2 linked regions of the Astyanax mexicanus genome follow. The protein of the gene in region 1 interacts with the protein of each later gene in a biochemical or structural test. Links are inferred from orthologs where the notes say so. Each region holds a gene or a part of one and is shown on either strand. Other genes may lie near its edges. The genes, in order: sytl1 and rab27a.

Evidence for each region.
Region 2: the proteins of sytl1 (region 1) and rab27a form a complex in vitro, tested with the Homo sapiens proteins (3 studies listed by BioGRID). The link is inferred for Astyanax mexicanus from reciprocal best matches to the Homo sapiens genes SYTL1 and RAB27A.

The regions. Positions count from the first base shown.
Region 1 is NC_064410.1:50,000,691-50,013,783, forward strand, and holds the start of sytl1 (synaptotagmin-like protein 1), read right to left. Parts: upstream 5,951-13,093; 5' UTR 5,936-5,950; coding exon 5,817-5,935; intron 4,993-5,816; coding exon 4,850-4,992; intron 4,719-4,849; coding exon 4,568-4,718; intron 3,404-4,567; coding exon 3,349-3,403; intron 3,084-3,348; coding exon 3,044-3,083; intron 2,876-3,043; coding exon 2,811-2,875; intron 2,190-2,810; coding exon 2,100-2,189; intron 1,928-2,099; coding exon 1,761-1,927; intron 1-1,760.
Region 2 is NC_064416.1:40,331,822-40,345,058, forward strand, and holds the start of rab27a (ras-related protein Rab-27A), read left to right. Parts: upstream 1-5,146; 5' UTR 5,147-5,365; intron 5,366-13,237. UniProt on the Homo sapiens protein: Small GTPase which cycles between active GTP-bound and inactive GDP-bound states. In its active state, binds to a variety of effector proteins to regulate homeostasis of late endocytic pathway, including endosomal positioning, maturation and secretion.

The sequences.
Region 1 (13,093 bases):
AAATCATTAAAACAGAGCTCTCATTTACTTCTCCTGTCTGCTGTTCTGCTGCTATGTCTACATGTTTATCTGCTGTGGTGGCCACAGTATTTTTAGTCCAAATAACTGCACCACACAGTCTGACCATTCTGACCAGATTTGACCTTTTGAAACTGGCCCAACTCTGCAGGAAAACCACACACCTGGCAACTCTCGCAGACTGTAAGTTAAAAGACTATGTGACAAACAAATAAAAAGCTCTGTAATAGTCACATAGGACACCTCATATCTAAATGTCCATCATGATAATATAATTTATGGTGATAATTCTGCAGACCGCCTTCCTTTATCTAATTTCAAATTACTGTACAGGTCTAAAACAGACCATAATGACCTAAATGAGTGATGAATTGTCTTCTCTTTTTATTATTTTTTATTTAAGCTTCAGTCAGTAATGTGTAAAGCCATTCTGTTATGCGTCTGCCACTTGTTTCTACATTTCTTCAATGGGCTACTTTAATTAGGTCTGTAAGAAATTGTTATATTTAATATATATTTACAATTCTGTGAAAAAAAAACAGGATATCCAGTATACATGCCCAGCTACAATATTTGTCTCACAGGATGTCATACAGGTTCTGTATGTCCTCTTGTATTCAACAGGATACTAGAGCCTCCTTTTAATTGTATTGTATTTTGCATTTTAGATAGATTACACTCTTCAAAATGGTTTAATATGATTATTATTTATAAATAATAGTTTTTTTTAGAGGTGAACAGTATGGACAAAAAATGCAATGTGCCGTAACGGTGTTAAATATCCTGTTCTCAACATTAAATATGATAAATAAGGATTCTTTAAACTCCTCTAAGGTTCTCATCACTTGTCTTGCCTGCACTCATTCCGCTTAGTCTCAGAAGTGGTTTGGTGTGGTTTGAGTGTTTACTCTGCACTTTTACCTCTCTCTAAGCTTCTTTGCCTCACTCCAGCCTCCCTTTGTAAAAGAAAAGTGTATTAAGTATATTTTTAAAAGTATAATTAACATGAAAAAGTACATACATTTTACAATTAAAATATGTACTTAAATTGTAACTTAAGTATATTTCAACTGTAATTAAGCTACATTTAAACACAACATAAAAGCACTAGATTGTGATTTTAAGTGCTTCTTTCGTACAACTTCTGCAAACTTAAGTAGAATTAAGTATGTGGTTTTTAAATATCATTTTAATACACTTAAAGTAACATTTACATAATGTATATTGTCCATGTAATAGTTTGTGTATTGACGCACAAAGTGTACACCTTACGCTACTGGAAAAAAAAAATACACGTACACTTTAAGCAGTATTTAATGTCACGCTATATATATATAAACCAGAACAATGTATAATTTAAAGTATATTGCTTAAAAATACATTTTATGGAAATACAGAGAAAGTATATCTAATGTGTATTTTCATAAAGTATATTAAATTGAAAATGCACTTTTAGTAGTCTTTACCCTTAATTTAAGCACATAGAATAGAATAGAATAGAATAGATTTCCTTTTCACAATGGTCATTATGTCAGATGGGAACCGACAATGTAATGTGAAGATAATGTGAAGTAATTTGAGTTTGCTGTTATTCAGGTGTTATGCAGCCCTTTTAATGTGTTTATCGTGAAAACCCTTATTACAATAACAACATAGATACCTTTTATTTATTTATCCAAAAGTCCTAGCAGTTATAACACAAACCTAGAACATACATGGCATCATTTTTGCCAGACACTTACGGGTCAGAGCGGTTATTACGTGCTGGCGCCAGGTCCTGACAACAACACACACGAACATGGAGTTCCTCCTTCTTGGGATCATAATGCAGAGAGAGCTGAATTCGCCCAGTCACTGTTACACCTCCGAAATCCCCCACACTGTACAGACTCATCAGACTTCCACTCATCTGCAATAAACACAAACACTTACCACAGTCAGTCAGATTATTCTTGCAATAACTTACAGCTCCAGAGGCAAAGGTTTAAAGGTCCTGTTGCTCTGTGTAACAGCGGCTGAGATGTCTGAAGCACCAGCTCAATGCCAGCGATGTTGCTCTTAGGTGCAGGTGTGTGACGTACCATATGACTGGAGTGCAGGCTGTTAATTGAGCCAAATCTGGTGTCAGCCAGTTCAGTGCTGCCAGAGTCAATATCACCCTCTGAGTCCACCTACATACACACACCAACAAGAGAGGAGGTAAAACACTTCTGTGCAGATGTCTAAACAAGGAGTGAGTGAAAATATTGATGTATTGGAGTATTACAATATTTTGTTTGCAATTCTATATTCATGTTTAAAAACACAGTACAATTGTTTTATCATTAGTTTACCTGGTAAGATTGGTGTCAGACAGTAGCCCACTAGGTAGAAATGTTGTGCTCCTTTATTATATTCCACTGTTATGATACTGTTTATGCATGTTTTGATTGATTTTTAGATTTTTGAAATATGAAAGTGTTATTTCTACTATGACAATTTTCCTAAAATTTGATTTAAACAATTAAAACACGTCTTCCTTAGAATATCACACTATATTTTGAAATATCGAATAGTAACCCCAGTATCATCTTACATATTGCATTGCCAAGTTCTTACCAATACACATATTCAGTCTAAACACTAGGTACATTACATAATATTCTGTCTTCAGTTTGGGTTACTGCATTATTTCACATGAATGATTAGACCAATAGAAATTGCCCAAAATTGGCATCTTTACTGTTTTACTTTAAATTTGAGGACAATGCTGATAGTTTTGTTTGGACAGCAACGTTATCTGTTAAACATACCAGCAGTGTTGGAGAGGCATTCTGTAGAACTCTGTCATTCACAACATCCGAATCTGCAACACTTTCTGAGACAGTAGTTCAGAAATAGTGATAAAGAAGTAAGAGAGAAGAGAGGAGAGGAAAAAAAGAGCCTTAGAATAAAGTGAAATAGGAGCCACTTCATGAATCTATTCACTTTATGAACGTTCAGTTACTGTTGTGTGACGTTCACACAATGCACATGCAGAACTTACCTTCAACTCCTGAACTACCTTCTGTGTTCTCTTCATTTTTCTGGGGATAAAAAAATGTAAATGCAAATATATATACAGAGGTGTGCTTCATGTACATTATAACCCTGTATGTATAATTTAGAAAAAAGACGATTAAAACATTTTCTATTTACGATAAACAGTATATCCCAGACACTCAGATTCTTCCACAGAAAAACAGCCTAAGCCCAAATTGCCATAATAAGAATTTCAACTTTTAACCAAAGCTGCCCCTACGTAAATACCTCTTATTCTTACATACAGTACACACAAACAGAAATACTGACCTTGGGGACACGTTTCCTCCTGGGCCGTGGTTCAGGGGCCACAATGAGGATGGGACTGAAGAGGAATGATTAAGGTTAGTTGAAATAATGAGATGCTTTTGATGATTACTTCATATCAGTTTTAAAGTGAAAGAAACAAAAAGTAGCCACTCTACAACCATGAGCTACAATTATTAAAATGTCTTGTCTAACAGAATGTCAGTCACTCCAGTACAACTCAGAACTCAACTACAACCACAGCTCTGGTTGGTGATAGCACAATTACAGTACCGCACTAGGTCACTGTTTAAAGGACAAAATACCTGAGGACCTTTTGAAGGTTCCTTAATTAGAAAGAATCTTCATTTTAAGATCCTAAGAAGAACCTGTTCTTAAGGACAAAAGCCCTCAAAAGAGCATTAAAGAGCTTCCACATAGTTGGAACTAGAGCTGCACGATATTGGAAAAAAATTACATTGCAAATGTTCTTTTTTTGACTATATATATCGCGATATTAAACAATGCAGGGCCCATGGCGTCACCAGCCCCACCCCTACCCACGCGCTGTCTTGCATTCGAGACGATCAAGAGCTGAGTCAGCGCTGAGCACTCAAAACCAGAGGAAAACAACAAACAACAGTAATAGGCTCTTTAATCAGGCATTCAAATGGGCTTTTTAAAAAAGGTAAATAAGAGCGTTTTTCTGGGATTAAAAGCGTGAATTCAGCTGTAACTGGAAATATCTGCACAAAACTGTACTGCACTGAGGTTTGGACTGGTGCATTTACAAGCACATGCCCAACCATGTGGATAGAGGCCATATGCAGTGTTTACTCCTGCCCCTCTTCGAGCTTCTCATGCAGACAGCAGCAGCCTGTCACTTACACAGACACAGAGACAGCGCTGTGTATCTACTTCTCGTGTCAAGAATCAAAACATTACAACATGACGTGTTTGATTTAACTGCCATAAGTGACATCACATGTCCTGCAATTGTGCATGTGCACATTGCGATGACAATGCTTAAACAATATATCGTGCAGCCCTAGTTAAAACCATATTTCATACTAAAGAATCCTAAAGGACTTAGAGAAACCTCTAAAAGTACCTTTAAGACAAGACCCTTTAGTTCTTAGTGACATAGAAACTTTTATAAAAGGAACTACTTATTAATTACAGTGCAAAACTAATTCACATCAAATAGGGCTTCAGACTGTGACAACTTAAACACTGCATCAACCTCTCTCTCTTTTCTTCCTCCTCAGTTTCAGTTTCTTTTTCCACGATTTCTGTTTCTTTTAGATCTGCTGTGTCCTCTACTGCGCTTTCTTCCTGATTCTCCGACAAATTCTGTTCCTCCTTATCCTCAAACACCGACATCACAAGCGTATCTGCACAACAAGAACAAAGACAGAGAAGGGTAAATCAGCGTTTAACAGTAACTAAGAAAAAAATACATAAATGTGCACTATAATGAGGGCACAATTTCACTTATGAGGTTAAATGTCAGTAAATATAAGACCTTTGCCCCGTTTTTTGCGTCGTATGGAGGCGTGGATAATGTCAGCCCCTCTGCTTTGATGCCGTTTGGCGCGCTCTTCAGTAAACCAGGTCCCACTGAGGGAGCGCAGACGCACAGGGTCCGATTCTACCTGCCCAAGCTTGCTAAAAACACAGACATAGAAACACACATACGAAAAATGACCGCAAAATAACATACATTAGAATGTCTCTATCCTTATCGGCAATATTTGCTGACTCATTCTATAAAAACTTTAAACTTTCTACCTCAGTAACTGCTGTGCTCACGCATGTGATATATGTTACAGTATGTTACATATCTCTGCACCATATTCTCACCATGCACATTTTATTGTACCGTATCAATACTGCACTGTCCTGTCTGTTAAATTGTCTCATCTTTTGAATTTAATGTATTTATTGTAGTGTTTGCACTTTGTGTTTGTCTATTGTATTGTTGTTCCATGTTGCACCATGGTTCCGGAGGAACGTAATTTCAATACACTGAACAACTGTACTCAGATGTAATAATAATAAAAAGCCTCTTGACTTGACTTAACATTACCATTCAAATTCCTTTCCGTTCCTTGTTTTATAACCCTGCATAAATTATATCAGAGATTATATCTGTCCAGTATCATTTATTTTACTTTAATCCTCGAGATCCTATATGAAGATATTTGGAATTCATTATTAGTATTATGACATTCTGGATCATTGACTTCTGTTACAAATCTGATAAAATTCTTGTATTTTTTAATATCTCAGTTAGGGGCGTGCAATATCATATCATATACAATAATAAAATTTAATTTTAATTTTAATGCAGTAGTGTATTCTCGAAATTATTGTTTTTAAATTCAGTGTTTTGTTATATCGGCAAGAGTATTGTTATCGCAAAAATACAGTAAAATATTGTGATATTATTTTAGTGCCATATTGCCCGCCCGTACCCCTGACCCACTCACCTGATCCTGCCCTCCTCCCGCTGCCGTAACTCAGCATCCCTCAGCAGAACGTTTAAAATCATGGTCTGTTCCACCTCGGTCAGGTGAGCCAAATCCAGCAGATCAGCTTCCTCCTCCATATCGAGCTCAGCTCACGCACCTGTGATGGAAAGTGTTTACTGAAATGATTCATAATCAATGACGTGTGATGATTCATAAACAATGACGACTATTAATGATATTACTTTTTGTTCTATGCGATGATAATGTGTACTGTGAACATTTTACCCTCAGTGAGCTTTTCTGAAATGCTGAGTAAGAGTTTTCTCTATCTGGCGCCAGCAGTGTGTGTCTATGTGTGTGTGTATGTGTGTGTTAAAGGAATGTACGTCACAGCTGTTGTGTCTACAAGCCCTGGCGCCAGGGCCATCTCCCTCTCCTGCTTGCAGTATTTTGAGGACCAGCCTGAGATGCTCACTAAGGGATTATGTCATATCACATGTCAGAAGAAGTTGACGTGTCACAATGGTGGCACTGTGCCCATAATTGGGAAAGCAAGATAGTAAGGGTGGGGTATAAAGAGAGCTTGGCACTCTTGCAAGGCAGGAGTTCACTCTGTATTCATTACGTGTGTCTTCTCAATAAATCTTGTTACTCATTCTGATCAAGACTCAGAGACTCTGAAAATTTCTTTCTTCCTGTCATTATTTTTCCACCACACACCCCACTCTGCATCAGAAACACCAACAATTAGCACTGATCACAATCAATCACCTATATCTGCTTCAAATCAATAACACTAAAACTGTTTGATGTGACTCTACACACCAAAGCAAAGCACTCATGTTCTGATAGAGCAAACCTGGAAGTTAAGGGTGGAGCTTTAAATGAGAATAACAAAAGTCACCTGTACACTGTGTACACACACACACACACACACACACACACACACACACTTCACTGCTCCCCTCCAGCTCTTCACAGCTCAGCTCTTTAACCACTAAACAAGCGAAATTATCTTTTGCCTGTTTGCTCAGTATTTGGACAGCTAAAACCAAACACGGCATAAACTGCTGAGAAGGACCTCGTAATCAGTTCATGTCGCAGATATCTCACAGACCAAATATCATTTAAAAACTGAAATCTATGCAGAACTCTGAAGTTCATGAAGTAGTTCAAATGCGGTTTGCAGATTCTGTTTTCAGAAAAGACACTTTAATGGCTAAATCAACAGTACATCAGAAGGGACTGAACTCGCACCATCATCACTATCACACACTTCATGATTAATTCACATACTTTTACATTTACAAACCCATGATGTTTTGCCTATAACTACATTGTACCAAGAGTTTAGGCTGCTTTACAAAAAAATCTTTAAACAACTAAAATGTGTACATTTGGCCTAAATTAAGTAATTTAATCTTTTTAATCTTTTAGCTTCATAAAGCTATCACAAAATATATAATAGAATAATACATAAATAAACCAACCTGGGCAGCACAGGGAGAAGATCAGAACATGGACAGAATCAGATGCACCACAGTCAAGTAAATCTATTAAACATAGCCTGGTTACCATCCCTGGTCCTGTAAGTGCCCTGTCCCCTGCATACCATGCCCATGTGGGGTCTGTACAGGGAGCTCAACTGGGCCATGGAAAAATTTAAGTCCATGGCCCACATATAAATGTATATGATGGGTAAAATAAATAAGTAAAATACATGTACAAATCCATGTAGAGCCCATGCTGATGTAAAACCCATTTGATACCCATGAGAGCATATCTGCTGGGACTGCACGTTAGTGTTTTCCTGAGCTAAAACACTCCTAACTCTCTAGAAACACCTGAGCAGAGTACAAAACGAATGTCTGTCAAAATCCAATTTCAAAATCCAATTTCTGTTCCTCCAAAAATAAAAAGAATTCTGTTTAAAAAAAAGTTTGTAAACAACTCGTTTTAAAAGATAAGAGGAATTAAAGCTACTGAAAAGTTGATACTGAAAATGATAAATGATTGTGATTTCACAAAGTCCAGTTTCTCCCAAAAGAGCAATTATTATCTAAGATAAGATACAATAAGATAAAATAAATAATAAAGTAATACATTTACAAGGTACTCCAGATAAAAGAAAGAATAAAGTAATACATTTAGAATGTACTCCAATTGTATTACAAATTATGTTTGAAAAAAACATTTAAATCTTAAATCTACGTTAAATCTAAGTTCACAGAAGTTATACTTAAAAAGCACTCAAAAACACAATCTAAAGCTTTTTTTGTTGTGTTTAAATATAGCCTAATTACAACTGAAATATACTTGCGTTGCTGTAAGTTGTTCCAAAGTAGTGCATTTAGTATGTATTTAAGTATGTATTAATTTTAATGCTAAAACTATGTACTTTACCATGTTAAGAACATTTTTAAAATATATACTTGAGCGCACTTTTCTTTTATAAAGGTAGTGTTGTTGGGAAAATACAGTTTGGCACTGGCTCTTTATTAGAATAATCAGACTCAAGACACAGATGATATAAAGAAAAATACACTTCGTATACCACTGGCTACAAGTTTTCTCCCAGGCAAATAGATTAAATTTCATGTGTTTGACTTTAATAAAAGTAGTGTTGCTGGAAAATACAGCTTGGCACTGGCTCTTCAACAGAATAGACTGACTCAGGACAGACAAATATACTTAATATACTACTGGCAACAAGTTGTATGCTAGGGCTGATGATCATCAGATTAATTTAGATGAAATGTGAGGTTTTGGGTGCAGGGTAAGCACCAAAATGTGGAGGAGTGAGGATCCTCCAGGACCAGTGCTGGGAACCACCGATGTTCTGTCGAGTTATGCTACCTATCGATATGTGCTTCTTTATGGAACTGCGCATGCGCTCACCAACATTTTTTTTAACGTTCTCATCATGTTTTTCATGATACTTCATTAGTTTTCATTGGGAGCATTAAACAACTTGATTGCATGTTTAAATACTGTAAATATCAGTTAAAAAAATAAAATATAAAACAACGTTAAATGGGCATAACTTTTTACCTTTTTTGGTGTTTTTTTTAAATTAACACTACTAGGGTAGCACGGTTTGACAAGGTGGCACAACTCGACAGAACACCGGCCTAAACAAGGATGCAGGGATAGCAGCAGGGAGCGCGCACGAGCACGCGCACCAACAACAGGCAAGAGTAAACAATCAGCAGGCTGTGAAGGCCAGAGACTCTCCCATTACTACCCTCAGTAAGTTAGGAAACAGATGCATTTGGGTCAAAAAGTATCTCCACACCGTGTGTAGAAGTGATAAACTCTTCACACAGTAGTTTATAAGATTTAAGTGATCAGTATAGTCCAGTTTCTGACCCTGACCTTTCTAACAGAACGACTGGGGTCTTTCTGAAGTGAACCTGCACGTGTCTCTACTGCAAATCCGCGCATCCGCCCAGACTGACTGACTGCTATACAGTGTGAGTGCAACTGAATGAGAGCTCGTGCACGCGCACCTGCTTCTCCAACTGACCCTTTACTTCACCAACACACACACACTGAACACAGAGTGAGTTAATTAAAGTCTCCTACCTGCAGGTCACTCAAAGTGTCCCATTCAGCGCTGTGTGCTGGAGTTAGCATTAAGCAGAGTTTCAGCAGGTGGAGCGCGAGCTGGAGCAGCACAGCTACAGTCCTGTTTCTGCATGAGCTGCCTTCATTAGAGACTCAGCCCCGCCCCACAGCTCCCTGCAAAATCTGAACCGGACTCCACAGCTCACTGCACAGAGAGACTGATTAATATTCATCACCTCATTCTCCCCACTCTCTATCCAATCTATAACTAAATTAAATTAATTAACAAATATATTAATAAATACATGAGATATTCACATTAGACCATCAAATACTTTAGCTAAAGTCATTTGTGAAGAGTGTAGCTTGTCTGTCTGTCTGTCTCCGTCTATCCATTCATCCATCCATCCACGAAACTATCCATCCATCAACAAAACTTTTCTATTTGTCCATCCCATTGTGTCTCCCATTCTCCTTTATTATATCTATTATCTGTACTTGCTGTAAAATTGGGAATGAGAGTAACGTAATTTCAATTCTCTGTATGTCCTGTAGTATTGACAATAAAACTACTTGACTTGACTTGATCCTCCCAACAGCCTATCCATGTGTTCATCCACTCACCAACCATCCATCCATCTCACTCACCAACCATCCTTCTGTCCGTCCAACAATTTAGCCATCCATCCATTCATCCATCCATCCATCCACCCACCCACCCAACCATCCTGTCTTTCCATCCACCAATTTAGCCATTCACCCACCCACCTATCTATCCATATTTTTCCATCCACTAAGCTATCAATTCATCCATTTATTTGATCACCAACCACGTACCAACTTATCTATTTTTATTTGTCCATCCATCCATCCATCCATCCATCCATTCACTCACCAAACTATTCATTCATCAACAAAACTTAGCATCTATCCACCCATCCTGGCATTCCATTCATCCATCCACACACCCACCAGTTTAGCCTACTTATTTTTTTATTTACTTTCAAACAACTTTATTAAGTAGAAATATAATTATACTATTGTTTTCTGAAAAAAAAGTATATCATGCTATTAATGCTACATTTAACTATCTATCTATTTTGGTCTGTCTTTGATTGCCTGAATTTCCTTTCAGCTGTAAGTGTACATATTACATGTAGTATCATTTAAACAGAAAACAAACAAAACAAATGTAAACCTTGTACTTTGAGGCTAATGAGTGTAACTCCAGTAGTATGATTATGAAAAATACATTCAGTCAAGTTTAAAGTGTAAATGGTGCAAGTGAATGGACTTGTATGTAGAGAATATTGCATGGCTATGTTCATGTTTGTGCACACTGCAGTCATGCACTCTGATCTGCAGCTCCGGGTAGCTGAGCATGGCCAGTGCTATCAGTACACACCTGCTGAATACACAGCCCTTCACACACAAGTACACCCAGTAAATACACAGAAAGCAGCATAAGCATTATGCAATCATTACACAATTACACAACTTCCAAAACCAAAGGCTGAAACGCTGAGTGTAAAGAATCCGTGTTTTTATTATTGTAGTAATTATTTTGACGAATTTTGGCAAGTCTTCTTGTCTGCTGATTTATAGTGGCAGGTGAGAAGGTGTGTACATGGGTATTTTATTACTTCCCCATCCAGTGTGTGAAAAAGTCCCTCCCATGGAGACACACAATGATTATCAGGAACATTCTGAACAAACCTTTTGTTATGCTTCATTCTGAGTAATGCTGAGACACCTAGGAATTCTTCTATTCTTTTATAACAGCAAAACATTCATTCTTTTAAAGAACCATTTCTGTTTTGTTAAGCATAAACTGTTATAGGCTTGGTCATCAACTAAAAGAGACATTTTACTCATTGAAACCCTTTTTTGGATTGCTTTTAGAGCCACACTGCTTGTAAATATATGTAAATTGATCATGAAGTGTTACTTCTGGGTATGGCGTGGGAAGCCACACCTGCATCAGTTGTGAGGTGTTATTTTGTAAGGCTTAAAACTCACCAGTGTGCTCATGGCCAGCTATCATGAATTACTTTTGAGTGAATTAGTTTGAGCAAGGTCTGATAGTGGGTGCCAGATGAATGAATCATTCCATTTCCAAAGTTATGTGGCCCTTTAACATCCTCAATCCAGGAAAACATTGTAGAAGACATTACCATCTACAGTAGACAACGCAGTGGGTGGTAATGATCATGACGAGCAGCTGACATGTGACTCTGGCATTATCACCTCCATATTCATTGCAGGAGACCTCACATGCACATCCTGCAGGTCAGTGCACTTGTCTTTAGTGTCAGTGGAACATATGCAAAAGTCATAGGACACAATACTAGTTTTCTTTACTATGACATGTGGCATGTAAGTGTATGATAATATCATAAACAATACATAAAAGAAAGAATAATGTTAAAATAGTAGCTGTAAGGAGATAACAATAATGAAAATATCAATATCCCACCATAAATGTTCTTATGTGCTTATTCTTAACACAGCTAATGATTAAGCTCATGTGTTTGAATACAGGAACTTCTGGCGGATATACATTTACTCATCCTTAGAAACTGACCTCATAAACTGCTCCATATATCTGTTTATTACCATAAAACAATTACTGTAGAAAAATGTAATGTACTCTCATAAAAAAATATTACGAACTATGATAGATATGTTAAATATACGAAATATAAATATTACGAAATATATATATTTTTTATTTAAGTTTAGATTAAAATAGTTTGACTGCAAAGAGCATAATGAAATAGATAAATGAACAGATAGATTGATAGATAGAATAGATAAGTTGGAAGGACTGTGGTTGGTGAGCTAATGGATGGATGAATGGACAGGTTGGTAGATAGACGAATAGATCAAATAAAATATATTTTAACGTGGAATTCAGTTTAATCTATCAGTAATAAATAGAAGAATAAGGCACGTGTATAAATCTTGTGCACTGTAAGCCCGGATAAGTTTGAATTTACTTAAAAAAATTGAGGAAACCTGTTGCCTTAAAAAAGTTAAGTAATGGGTTATGAAAAGTTAAGTTAGCATGACTTAGAACATCAAGTTATTACAACCAAGGGAAAAGTTGATTTTTTTTATATTTGTTATACTTTAAGACCGTATAAGTTGAGTTTACTTAAAGGCGGCCAGTTTTCTCAAATTTATAATGGGGACTGAAAAGTTGAGTTAGCGTAAATTAAAACATCAAGTTATTACAACTAAAGGGGAACCTAATTTATTTCTAAGGTAGCCCAGGGGGAATAACTACACACTGATGGTGAGTGTTAGTCAGAAACTGTTGGACACACCCAGTATGCAAATAGATTGTGATAGAAGCCAATGGAAAAGAAGCTGCCAGTAGCAACAGACTAAACTCAGTTATTATAAGTTGATTTAACTCAAAGATCTCAGTTTGAATGTTTATATGTGCCCACAAATGTTCAACTAAAAATAGTTGAGTATAGTTAAAAAATATATCCTATTTTATGTAAAACAGACTTAAATCATTTGAGTTTAAACAACGTATGGGTTTACAGTGTATAAGTCTGTCTATAGACGGCTTTCCTTAGGCCTCAGGTCATTAAGACACATATGACTATTTTGACAGAGTTAAAAGCTTTAGCAGCTGAGATGGAAGAGACCCTGCATATGACAATTGTTACCTAGGCTCTTCACCAGTCAGTGTTTTATAGGCAAATTAAATTTAT
Region 2 (13,237 bases), on another chromosome or scaffold:
CTCAGAAACATTCTCAAATGGGCATGTGTTTTTTCCTACATTGTAAATGAATACTAAAATCATCCAGACTTTGAAGGAACACACAAGAAATTATGTACTACCTTAAAAAAGCGTTAAACAAACCAAAATACTCTGTGAAGTTTTTAGGTGCTCTTATCTGGAGTGCTGTTAACTAGTGGATTCTGAGGCTGGCAACTCTGATGAATTTATCCTGTGCAACAGATAAATAAAACATATTCTGGTTTAACACATAATTCTATATGTTTTTCTTTATAGTTTAGATGACTTTAGTATTAATCTTCAATACAGCACATTTAAAAATAAACCTCAGTAAACATCTCCTCGTGGCTGTATAAGAGAATAAATCAGTGTAATTGGTACTGATTATAAACACCATGGAAAATATGGCTAGTTAAATAAGTCGCTGTTTCGCGAATCTGCGTTTGTCCGCTCTGTGTTGCCGTACATGACCTTGCTGTCCTGGTATGGCAGCGCTGTGGGTAGGAGCAGCAGCGCTGATTTTAATACGTTTTTCTCTGTATTTATAGTAATAAATAATATTCTGTAGTCCTGCTGGTGGTGTAGTCAGTCAGTCGCCTGTCTCCGCTGTGTGTGAGAGTCAGACCCGCGCGCTCTGATCCTCCTGAGACTGCTTAATCTCCCGGAACTCGGTAAGAAGTACGGTTGGGCACGGTAATCACATCACGATATTTTACCCTGTTTACGCGATAACGATAATATTGGCGATATGATAGAACATTTAATATTTAATATTAATCTACAATGATAAAAAAATCAATAAAGAAAAAACATTGAATGAGAAGGTGTGTCCAAACTTTTGACTGGTACTGTATAATGTAAATTAAACATTACGTAGAAACAGCTTTGGTCTGTTTCTGTATAATTTGTAATCAACATTACTTAGAAAGGTTACTGTGCTGGTTACACAGTTACTATACGCTGAATTTTAATTCTAAGTGCTTTAGAAATAATTTATTTTAAAGCAAGATGAGCTGAAGAAGTTAGCTTAAAATGAGCATTTTTTATTACCAAACCAGCAACCTTGCTTGCTGACCCTGAACTACTGACGATATAAAAAAAAATAATAATGCTGTACTGATTTAAATTCTTTCTAAACTTCAGTTTTCACTTTCCTCCCATGCAGGTTGAGAGATGCAGATGACCAGTGTGATTTTTTGTCATAGGTGAACAGTATTTTCTGTAAAATGTAAACTGTAAACTTTAGATTATGCAACAAATTATCTAATATATGTATAAGAAATAATTGAGTAAAAATTAAATCTAGCATACGAAGCATATGAAATGTTATGCAGTTGCATGGTTTGAACACCTGAGGTCACAATCCCGCTAGTGTGAACCAAAGAACCAGAGGGCGTAAGAACAGAGTGGAGGATATGTCAGTCATTTTTGACTGCAGCCAATCACACAAGCGCTTTTTTCTGCTATATGGGGGGCTGGGGGGGCACCGTGATCATTGCACAAGTTTTGGTTCTCCAGGCTTATAAGTCTCCTTATTTTTTTGTCATTCAACATTTTTTGTTCCAAATATTGTGAGAAAATTAAATCATGAATCTAATCGAGAACAGAGTGAATCGTTACACCCCTGGTCATTGTATTATTAATGCTCTTTGTCTTTCCAAGAAAATTAGAACAGTAAGAGTTTCCCATTTGTATCAAGCAAGTTGTAGCCTGAAATTTATAAAGGATCATGATGACGATACTAAAACAATATATTGTGCCGCTTAATAGAAATAATTACTTTTAAAGTGTAAACTTTCTTTTTGTGCAAAATAGTTGCAATAAAATGTTTGTGTTAGTGGACTGCTAGTTGTTCTCTTCTGCATTAAATTAACTGAAATATTTCCTCTCTCAGCAGCAGACTTTGGTGGAAACTAGCAATAATTTTCGAATGGACTGAAAAGCTTTCTTTAGACTTGCCATCATGCTTCCAAGGCGGATACCATTCAACCAGATCGCTTTTGCAACTCTGCTCGGGGTAGGAGGGGGCATCTATATCTACAAACCCATGTTTGAACTTCCACGAAGGTCCAGAAGCACACCAAGCCAACAGGACATCAAAACTGAAGCAGACAGTAAAGGGACTGATCCAGGCGTACATGAAAATACTGCCAAACCAGCCGCAAGTGCAACAAATACTGGAGCAACACCAGAGGCTTCTGCAGCCAAATGAAGCTTGACAGTGATTCTCAAATCAATATGTTCATGCATCTGTGTGCCTTTGCAGTTTGTCTGTGTTTAACTAAATAAAAAGCCATGTACATATTCTAAAAATATGTATATATATTGATCCTGTGTATTAATTTATGGCCAATCTGTTTTTGTATCTGTTCTATTTTCATTATAGGTGACTTTTTACTCCACAACACACATCTACTCTGCATAACCCCAAAAAAGTAAAAGTCGTTCCTCTTCTGGTGTATGTGTTTATGAAAACCTAACACATATAGACAAAATAGTACAAAAATAAAGTTGGCCAATCAGGATACAGTGTTTAATTAGTTTTGACCTATTGGTTGTAAGTAACTATTGGAAGCGAACAGTTCAGCATCTGGTTTCTACCTCCTGGTTTCTGCACCCATTATCACATTTGTTTAGCTCCACTGAGCATAAAGGAGCACATTGTAGTTCTGTAATCACAGACTGTACAGCGGCTTTAAAAAGTATTCATATCCCTTGAACTTTTTCACATTTTGTCACCTTACAACCACAAACTGTGGCAAGATGTAAAAGTTGCTGTTCACAGACGCTCTCCATCCAACCTGGTTGAGCTTAAGCTATTTTACAAAGAATAATAGGCCAAAATTTCAGTCTCTTGATGTGCAAAGCTGGTAACAAACCCCAAAAGACGCTGAAGAAGCTGTAATTGCAGTGAAGGATGGCTCTACTAAGTATTGATTAGGTGGGTGAATACTTTTGCACATCCCACTTTTCAAGTTTTATTTGATTAAATTTTGTTTTTCCACTTCGAAAATTTGTGTTACTTTGTGTTGCGTCTATCGTTTATAATCTCAATATAATACATTTAAATTTGTGTTTCTAAGGTGACAAAATGTGGAAAAAGTTCAAGAGTATTTTATTAAATAGATTGGTGAAGCAAGAGTAAGACTACCGTTTCTGCACCTAAAATGATTTGATTAACAACGAGGTTTGGTTATGAAAACTTCAATAGCACATTATTGTCATATAGTAAATTTAAAGTTTTTTTTTTTACTGAAGTGGAGGTCTAAAGGGGGGACTTCTACTTTACCAGAGTTATATTTTATTTTTGGTATCTACTCAATTAATATACAGGTTTTGGGTACTTTACTCACTGGTTTTAAAGCACGAGGCCACAAGGTGGTGCAAAAATAACATCCACCAATTATGATGAAGAAAAGCAGCTGCTATTTATTTATTTTATATAACTATTGTTATGCTGTTATAAGATTACCATGCTGTAGAAAAGAAATGATGCAAATTGATTCTGAATACAGCACAGATGTTTTAACATGTAGTTAAAACCTTGTAAATATTAAAAAAACAAACATATAGACTTAATGTATAGAGAAAAAAGGACACTGTTTCACAAGGATTTAAACAAGCACAGGTATATATCCAGAATCATTAAAGTAAAAAGTACATTTTATTATATAAAAAGTAAAAGATGTATTGATAATTCAGACGAAATAATAGCATCACATAGGATAAGACAGATGCTAACCCTCCAAATTAAAAGAACCACATACAGTACAAGCCAAAAGTTTGGACAAACCTCTTCTCAATCTGTGTGTTTTTTTCCTTTTTATGATTTTTTTTAAATTGTTAATATAATATTGAAGCTATACAGGAACACATGCAGAATTATTTCGTAAACAGAAAGTGTTTAAAGGAAGATATGTTTTATACTTAAGATTATTCTAAGTATCACATATCTTTGAGGACAGATCTGCACACTCTTGATATTTTAATCTCAGTGTCTTCATGAGGGAGAGTCACCTGGAATCGTTTCTCAGCATCTTGAAGGAGTTTCTGGAGGTGCTGAACAATAGCTGCTGCTGTTCCCACGCTCATTCCAAATCATCATCACAGATCATCAGATTTAGATCAGGGGATTGTGAACACATTATTACTGTTTATTATATAGATCCATATGTGACCCTTAATCTTTTTATCTATTTAATATTAATCTATAATGTAATAATAAATATTTGAATAAAGAAAAACATTGAATGAGAAGGTGTGTCCAAACTTTTGACATGTAATGTTTGTATTGAAAAATAAACAAAATATTTTTTTAAACATTTGTAAATGCTTTATGAATTACGTTAGGTAAAAAGTTAGCATTTAACAGAACTCAATAGACAACAAACAACTGGTAATAAACAACAGATTTTGCTTGCATGTATTGTATTGCAGAAAAAAGTTAAAAGAAAAAAAACGGAATTTAATTTACTTTTTAAGGACTAAAAATATAGATTTACATTTGTTTTTTAAGTTATTTTTTATTAAACTTTTCTTGCATTTTCTTTTAATTACCTTTATTGCATTTTTTAGATTGCTAGACTAAACAATTTAATAATACAGCCATTCTGCACAAGGCTTTCTTGTTTAGATTTTATTTATAATTACCATTATTACATTTTTTTAGATTGCTAGATTAAAATTTACATTAATACAGCCATTCTGTAACAGTTGTCTGGTGTATTAAGAAAATAGTTTATAGGTTGTTTATTATTAAGAGATATTAATAAACAACGATATTATTGATAAAAAAATAACAAATATCAAGTTTCCGTTCCAGCAATTACTGAAAAAGTAGTGTAGTGTTGTGTTCAGTTATAGAAGCCTGTCTATCGTGGTCGGTGTGCTCTATTCTCTCCAACATCCTGGAGAAAGGAGTGAGGGAGGGGTAGGCCCTGTTTTGTTTCCCACCCGTACTCAACCCTCCTGTGCTCTGCTGTGCTAAAACTTCGAGCCCTCACGCAGCTCGTCTATTTGCTGTTGGTTTGCTTGTTCAGCTCGATAACCAATCGCAGCGCAGGAGGAGAGCCGCGGCTGGCCAATCCCATCTCAGCAAGGCGGGACTTTACCTAAAACAGGTGGGAAACGAAAAAGCGCTGAACGGGAAGTAGTGCTGCTGCTGCGTCAACCCCGAGAGACTTCAGCCGTGTGGACCTCGATGCAGGCTGTGCTTCAGCTTCAGGAAAAGCAAATTCAGCCTAAAGTAGCTTAAAGTCACTGTTTAAAACTAGACGCGTAGCTTTAAAAGGCTTTGGCGTTGGTATAATTTGCATAGCAGCGTTTTTTTCTTCAGAAATATCGACTAAGTGAAGGTAGCCGCCTGGTAAGTTAAACCCTTCTGCTGTCTACTTCTCTCAAAAGTTAATGAATTGGCTTAAAACTGTAAGTTTTTGCATTTTCTGCGTGATATAATATGTTTAAGCGTGTTAAACGCCCTTTCAGACACTTTTTTCGTGTTTTAAAGCATTAAAACTTTAATCGAAGTGATATTTCGGCTCACAGACTGGGAAAAAGTTGCAAAATTCCCAGTGCTTGTGACACATCACCTGTAGCTGATGTTTTAATGATGGATTGGGGGAGTTTATGGGAACAGGCAATGCAGTGCAGGAACTGGCAAAGCTGTGAGATTTTAAATGATCTAACCTACCCAGTTTAGCTTATATCTTTCTGTCTGTCTTGTCATGTGTCATCATCAGACACGTGGCTGTATGTTAGCACATTTAAAAGGGCTTTATAAACTATTTTCTTTAACCCGTAAGAGCCCAGATCCATTTCTGAATATTGATGCCATATCAAAAATGGAATCAGATAAATTCAGTGAGTGGCTCATTTATTTTTTCTTAATTATGTGCACATAATTGTAAATATTTAAAGTTAAACATGCTAAATTTATGGTGTAACATAAATGACACAACAACAATTTCATAACCTGTATTTTAACTAGTGGTGCCAATCTTTCAAAAAATCTATTACAATATTCTGTGATTAACTGCATTTAATCACACTTTTTTTTCTTAAGACATTTATATATATGTAAATAAATGTATATATGTAAATAAAAGAATAAATACAACAAATGTAAAATGCAATTATATTTTTATATTAGTGGTGAAAATTAAAATACTAGTGTATATACTCGCAGAATAAAGGCACTATCAATGAATGTCTATTTTCTGGTTTATTTTCATACATTTATATATTTTGGCATGACTGGGCTTTCATATAGTTTTGTGGCTTATTCTATTGTCAGGAGTTCTTAGAATATAAAACATTAAGACATTAATTTAAAGCTTTGATTACTATAGGGTTTACTTTTCCCTCAAGGGTACACAATATGTGAAGGAATCAGACTGCATTTGCAGGAAATCAGTAAACGTAAAATTGAGAGATGCCAACAACTTTAACACGTCTTCCTTTTTAAAACTTCCTATAGACACTATAAACGGACATAAAATACTCAAAATGTTTAAGTATTGTAACTATTATCTTCTGTTTCACAATTAAGACTTTAAGTTTGTCTAAATCTGGCGCATTCACTGCATGAATAAGGGATATAGATTATTGTATATACCTTCCCTGTAATGTGTATTATCATTTTTAAATAAAGTCAAAGGTCATATCTAATACCAAACATGCTCTATCTGCAGCCTGTTTGATTCTGATGATTGAAGAATTAAGATTTGACGTAGATTTTCACATGCTGACTAAGGAAATGTGTAAGTCTTCCTTTATTAGCTAATACATGTGTCTAGAACTAAGAGGAACCTGATTTCTGTGAGTAGATGCATGGTTTCCTTTCTACTAAATAAGACTGGTAGAAAGAATAAGGCAAGCTGGTTCTGTGCATTATTGGACAGTAGCTTTAATTAAAGTTATTTACCGTGATTACAGTTAATTGTGGTTTGATAAATATTTTAAAATAAAGAATATCAATAAGTTTCTTTGTTATACATTTTATTATGCTTTTTATATTATTTTATTATGATTTTCTGTAAAACAATTACAGTCCAGAAATGTTTCCTCCTTCCTTGTAGTCTGCAGGTTAGTTGCTGAGAGTGGATTGCTCAACCTTCTTTTTCTTATTAACTATATCTTTATAGTGCTCTACACTCCTGTGGCCAGGCATTGTTTTTGGACATGTTCTTGTTGAATAGAGCTGAAAGAGGAGTTATGTCATGTGTACTGGTATACCATTATTAATTTTACCATTACACTGCTATTACGTTTCAATGATATTGATATTTTTGGCCCTAAAGGTTAAAACAACATGCAAAATTGACATTTCCTGGCCCTGGGCTTGGGGAAAACCCTAAAAGGACACACTTCACATGTGCTGTTCTTGTCAAGTTGGGAGATGCAGAACCTTTCACTGAAAGTGAAAGAAGCTTGAGGCGAATGAGGCGGTACAGTAATATTACAGGATTTTATACAAATATGACTACACAGGTTACACAGGTTATGCAGCGCTACACACTTCTTGTGAGCATTGTGTGCTCACTTCACCAGAGTCACATAGTGAAGTTAGCAGCATATCAAGCCTGAAGAAATAATAGAGATGCTTGTCTCTCTATTACAATCAGTGGAGTATCAACATAATTTTAAAGCTGATATTTTAAGGTAAAATCGGCATACTGCTATCATTTGCATGACAATGTGGAAATTATATAAAAAATGTAGTTATTAGGTATCAGGGGGGATCTGTGACCAAACTTAGTGTCTCCTTTACATTCGAGTATGCAGTTGTGGTTGGGGGGGAGGTAATATCTAATATTAGTTTACATTATTTTGCTGTGTTAACATCAACAAAATCATAGGTCAATTTTTTTTTTTTTTTTTTTTTTTAAATGGTATAATTTAATTATTATACGTAGTACGGTCAAGAAAAGGAACTAAACAAATTCTTTGAATCTTTATACTATGAGACTTTAAGTACTTGTGAAATATGAGCTTAATAACTCAAAGTGAAGTGGAGTGAATTTGGATTTTATCCACATTTTACAGTTTAAATTAATACATTTTATGTGATTCCAACTTCTGAATACACAGAAAATGTAAAACTAAGATAAAAATTTCCTGCAGTGTCAAACCCATTTTTCACCTAATGCCAAGCGTGGGCTAGAGGCGTATAAATCCCCTAGTTTTGAGCTGATAATGGTGCTCCATCCAATATTTTTTGGGTAAGGTGGGGTGGATAGCTCAATGCAATTCAATCCTAATAACAATGCCCCAAAATCTAATAGGAAGCCTTTTCATGGACAGTAGAGACATTTATTATGGGTGCATCTTGATATCGGAATTAAATCAGTATCTGTATTTTCTGATTTGGTCGATAATTCAAACCGATACTTGCTGATGTATTTATTGTATGATTGAAAAGAATAAAGCATTGCTGGCCATGCTACTACAACTGGCCGGCAATGACTGCTCTACTTTAAAACCCGTTTATTTATGCTAAACATTTGTTTTAATAAACCTGTTTTTTTTTTTTTGTCCCTGTTAAGAGGGTTTAAAGCTGTGGGCGGTCTGTGTAAGGACCAGACTAAAGATATATACTTGTCACATCGGATATCAGCATCGGCACAGAACATCGGTGCACCTTTTATGAAACTTACTCAGTACTTAACACTAACTTTCAGTTTTGTTATTAACTTTAAATGTATCATATGATACCGTGATTTACTTGAGAAATTTCATTATTGTTTCCATATCGTCCAGCTCTAAATTAAAACACCCCTTTTTAAATAGACCCCTTTATTAAAGTTTCTTCAATAATTTTTATGTCATTTTTATTTCTGAAATACAAAGGATAAATTACATTAAGTGCTAGCCCTAATGTCAAAGAAACTAAGATTCAAACTAAGTGCTCACGTTTAGCTGGTTTGCTGTGAATTTGTAAGCACGTGTGGCTCTTTAGCAGGATCAGGAATGGGTGGTCACATGACACAGTGCCTAAAGCACATGAGGACCAGCTGAGGGATATTAGATGAGGATGGTTTGTGTGCCAGAAATGAGTCTGACTCATTGCATCCGTATTACCCTCGTCTGGGCAAACTGCACTCTCAATCGCTCTGTGTGTTCTTGGGCGTTCCACTATTTTACACTAATCTGAAACTAGTCGTAAATGAGCATTAGCTATGAGATGAATTAGGACTGGGTTGAAGGATCCTGTCTTTGATCAGTTTTTTTTTTTTTTTTTGTTAAGCCAGGAAATGTCATGATGTGTTTCTCACCCTTGTAATAAATGAACTATTTAAATCGCTCAGATTTTGTAACAATGTTTAAATTCTAACACAGAAGAGTCCATTATATCCCAAACATTATTACATTAAAGATACAGTGTGGCTAATTGTTGGGCTATTCATTGTCCTTTTTCTGGGGCTGTATATTAACTGTATATAGAGTCTTTGACCTGTAGAAATGTGAGTGTGGTGTAGTGTGCAAACACTGTAAAGTTTTAAAAATGTCCCAAACATCTGTACTTTATAGTAGTTTATAGATGAGAGAATGTCTAAGGTGTCACTGCTCATACCGTCCTTGGGTGTAGTGTACCTTGTGTACTCTGAGACTAATATTTTGTCAACCGCCCCTGAACTGTTCAAAAGCTTTCTGGCAGACACCTCAAACTGAAAATCGTCTGTCTCAAAAAAAAAAAAAAAAATATATATATATATATATATATATATATATTTTTTTTTTTTTACTATTACTGCTATTTTGTGTATTATTTGTGTTTTTTTTTTTTTTTTACAGTCATAATGTCTTCAGTTATTTGGGCTTTCATGGTTACAAGCCCCTCCTTCTCTTGCAGCTTTACCCGCAAACTGATTTTGGAAGGTGTGACTTGATTACTAAACAGACTCTGTGTTAAGCATTAAGAAAACTCCTAGTCATATTTCAACCAGCAAGCCGGCTCTTCATAAATAACTTGTATCTGGTTTCACTGCGCACAGGTTTTTCATCCTGAAAGAACTTTAATCTTGTCCTGTGTGCATTTTTAATGGGGACTGTGGGACCATGTTAGTCTGAAGCCCCGGTCAAGGTCTGAAGTAGCACATGTAAATTTGCATTCTCCTCCAAGTGATTTATCCTGTCCAGACTGAAAAAATTATGTGATTAAAATCATGTAATTCAGCGGAAGCCTGTTCAAACACAGTCTTACTTACTGTACCTTTAATGCATTATTATGAAAAAATTGGGAAACAATGAACTTTCCTGTTTTCCTGAACTTGCCTCATTATTTAAAGTTTAATCTTTCTCTGCAAAATCAAAATTACTGAATTATTTCATTGTAAGCCTTAATTTATATTATCCTCTCAGCAGATTGGGACCTAGCTAGTGAATGGGAAACTTGCTAAACTAGAGATTTAACTTAGCTTCTTTTACCCCATGAACATTGTGTGTGCATTTATATAAATGCCCATTCAGCCTACTGCAGTTTATTTAGGACTGATAACTCTAGAGTATGGATGAACCGATGTGGGAAATTTGAACCAATGATGGATAAAATGAAAGGTATCTCCTAAAAAATTAGTTTTTGCATTCTTTGGCTTCACAGTTATTTAGCTTACTTGTTCTAACAAAACAGTAATTATCAAACAATACAGATATAATTCTGAAATAATTATGCATCGCTACTAAGGAGAGTTTCAACAAAGTCTTTTTTTTAAAATAAGGCACAACATCACAAGGCCTGAGGAATAATGAGAGGGTAAAAACTATTCATGTAGTAATGAACTAGGACAGGGGTCGGCAATTAAGTTTGGCCGCGGGCCAGATTTATTCCAAGCCATTACATGGCGGGCCACAAGCACTTGGCGGGGGGGGGGGGGGGGGGGGCGGGGCTGACATTCAAGTGGGCTGATGTGGGTGAAATCTGTGGACTGACCATTGGGGGCGCTATTAATGATATACCTGTTTGTTAAATAATAAAAAAAAACGAATAAAAAAAAAAAAAACAGAATAAAGAAGCTAGCAGTTATCTAACAGCCCGTGTCAAAAAAATCTTTAATAAATTTTTCTGTTTTGGAAAATTAAGTTTCTAAATAAAGAGCATTTTTGAGACGGACTGTCCGATTTTTTTTTTTTCATTATAGTTCAACCTCCCGGGCCAGATGTTTCTTGCTTGCGGGCCGCATCTGGCCCGCGGGCCGCCTATTGCCGACCTATGAACTAGGACCTTATTAGTATTAGAATTAGTATTAATCTTTGTGTTAAATTTTTCTCACTGCACACGTCATAATGTGACGTAACAATCATTATAGTAGTGTCCCATTCATTAACAAACTGCTGTATAAGACTTTGTTACATTGTTGTGTTAGAGGTTATTCATTGGCTTGCATAAACTCAGTTTAAGACGACAGGATTATGTTGTAATGTAATGTGGAGTTTCCTGATCATCGTTTGTGGACATTTTACACTAATAGGTGTTTATGATGAGGAGTTCAGTTCAAGCACTGGCACTGGAAAAGAGAAGTAAACTCATTAAAAAAAAACTTGTCATGACTTGACATGAGTGTGTGTGTATGTGTGTGTCTGCATGGCACTGTGGGTCACACCCAGTTTGGCTGCGTGTGCCTGTGCCTTTGTTTAAGTTCAGTGGGATCTGCATATCCGCCTGCCTGCTGGCTACACTCTGTCCATTAGTGTTGGAGTGCTGCCCAGGCTGCTCGACACTCCGCCCTCCTGCCAGCCTCTCTGCTAGGAAAATATGAGAGGGAAAAAACCCTCGGGCTTCTCAAGGCATCCCTTCGTCCATCTCTGTGCAGACAGCGAGATCAGGGGTTTAGGCCTGTGACAGTATCAAGATTAGCAATATTGAGCCCAATATTAGCTCAGAATAGCACAAGGACATCGTAGGCCTGTTAACCTGTCTATGTCTATATATGTGTCTGTTCTTGTGTTCTTAACCTTTTTGCTGTGCAACCCTTTTTTAGGGATCAAAATATTAAAACCAGCCCTCCCCCAACTCATCCCCGACCGCACACTGCTTTTCCAAAATAGAAAAAAAACCTAACCGTGTGCAAAACTGCAATTAGGGGTGGGACAGTATATTGTAATTTTGACACATCCTATTGTTTCCATTGTATCCTATTGTTTTGATATTTGGCCTCAAATATTATTTTTTTTTTTGTTATTGATACATAGGTGCTCTACATTCCCTCAGATTCTTCCCTAATTTGACTTGAATCCATGTGGTGCCGCTAGGCCAGTCACAATAGCTATTTCTACGTGAACTATATATTGCCCCAGCAACAATTGTGATAATATTTTCAAGTTAAGACATACGTTTTACGCCACTAAAAAAATGATGGTTTAGTGTCATAATAATACAGTTAAAAAGTTTTAAAGCAGGAGTGTCCAAACTTTTTTTGTTGGGGGCCAGAAGAAGAAATATATTTGAAGTCATGGGCCAGAGACTCTGTAATAAAACAAATAGTGAAGTGAAATATACCACTTTAAATAATACATTTTCCTGATTACTTTCATTTACAAACCATTTTACTTGACTTACTATCTTTATCTATATTTGACAGTGTTGTGTAAACTTACAAACCTATGATTTAAAACAAGTTGACAATGTGTCCTCCTCGATAAGTCAGATTATTGAGGTTGTGTCCATATATTGTACGATAATTCGATAATGTAATCATCATGACATGGATAGGTGGCACTAATCAATTGAATAGTATACAACCTGTGAAACTAAAAAGCAATAAATCCCAAATTTCTTGTATTCGCTAGCAATAGTTTATTCTCTTCAGTAACAGAGATGCAGTATCATAGAGAATTGTCTTGCAATATGTTTATCATTGCAAAATTACGGTATTGTAATCTCATTGTTATCATGGGCAATGTACCGTGGTAATATAGTAACGTGAGATGCCCTGTGATTCCCACCCCTGCTGGCTTCGAATGGTGAATCAGTTGGTCTGATTAAATGAAAGTACAACTCTGTATAATGTCTGAATCTAAAGGCTGACTTATACTTAACTCAATAAGTGCGGCACTACATATGAAGGAATTGTCATTTATTTGCCATGAAAAAGACAAAGTGTTTGTTTAATTGTAGCACATTTCTTTCAGTTACGCCTTTCGTGATGTATCAAGTAAAAGCTAGGCATTATTCTCTGCACGTTTCATGGAGAAATGCCATCAATTAGTATCACTCTTGGACCCCCAGGTTAAGTGAGAACCC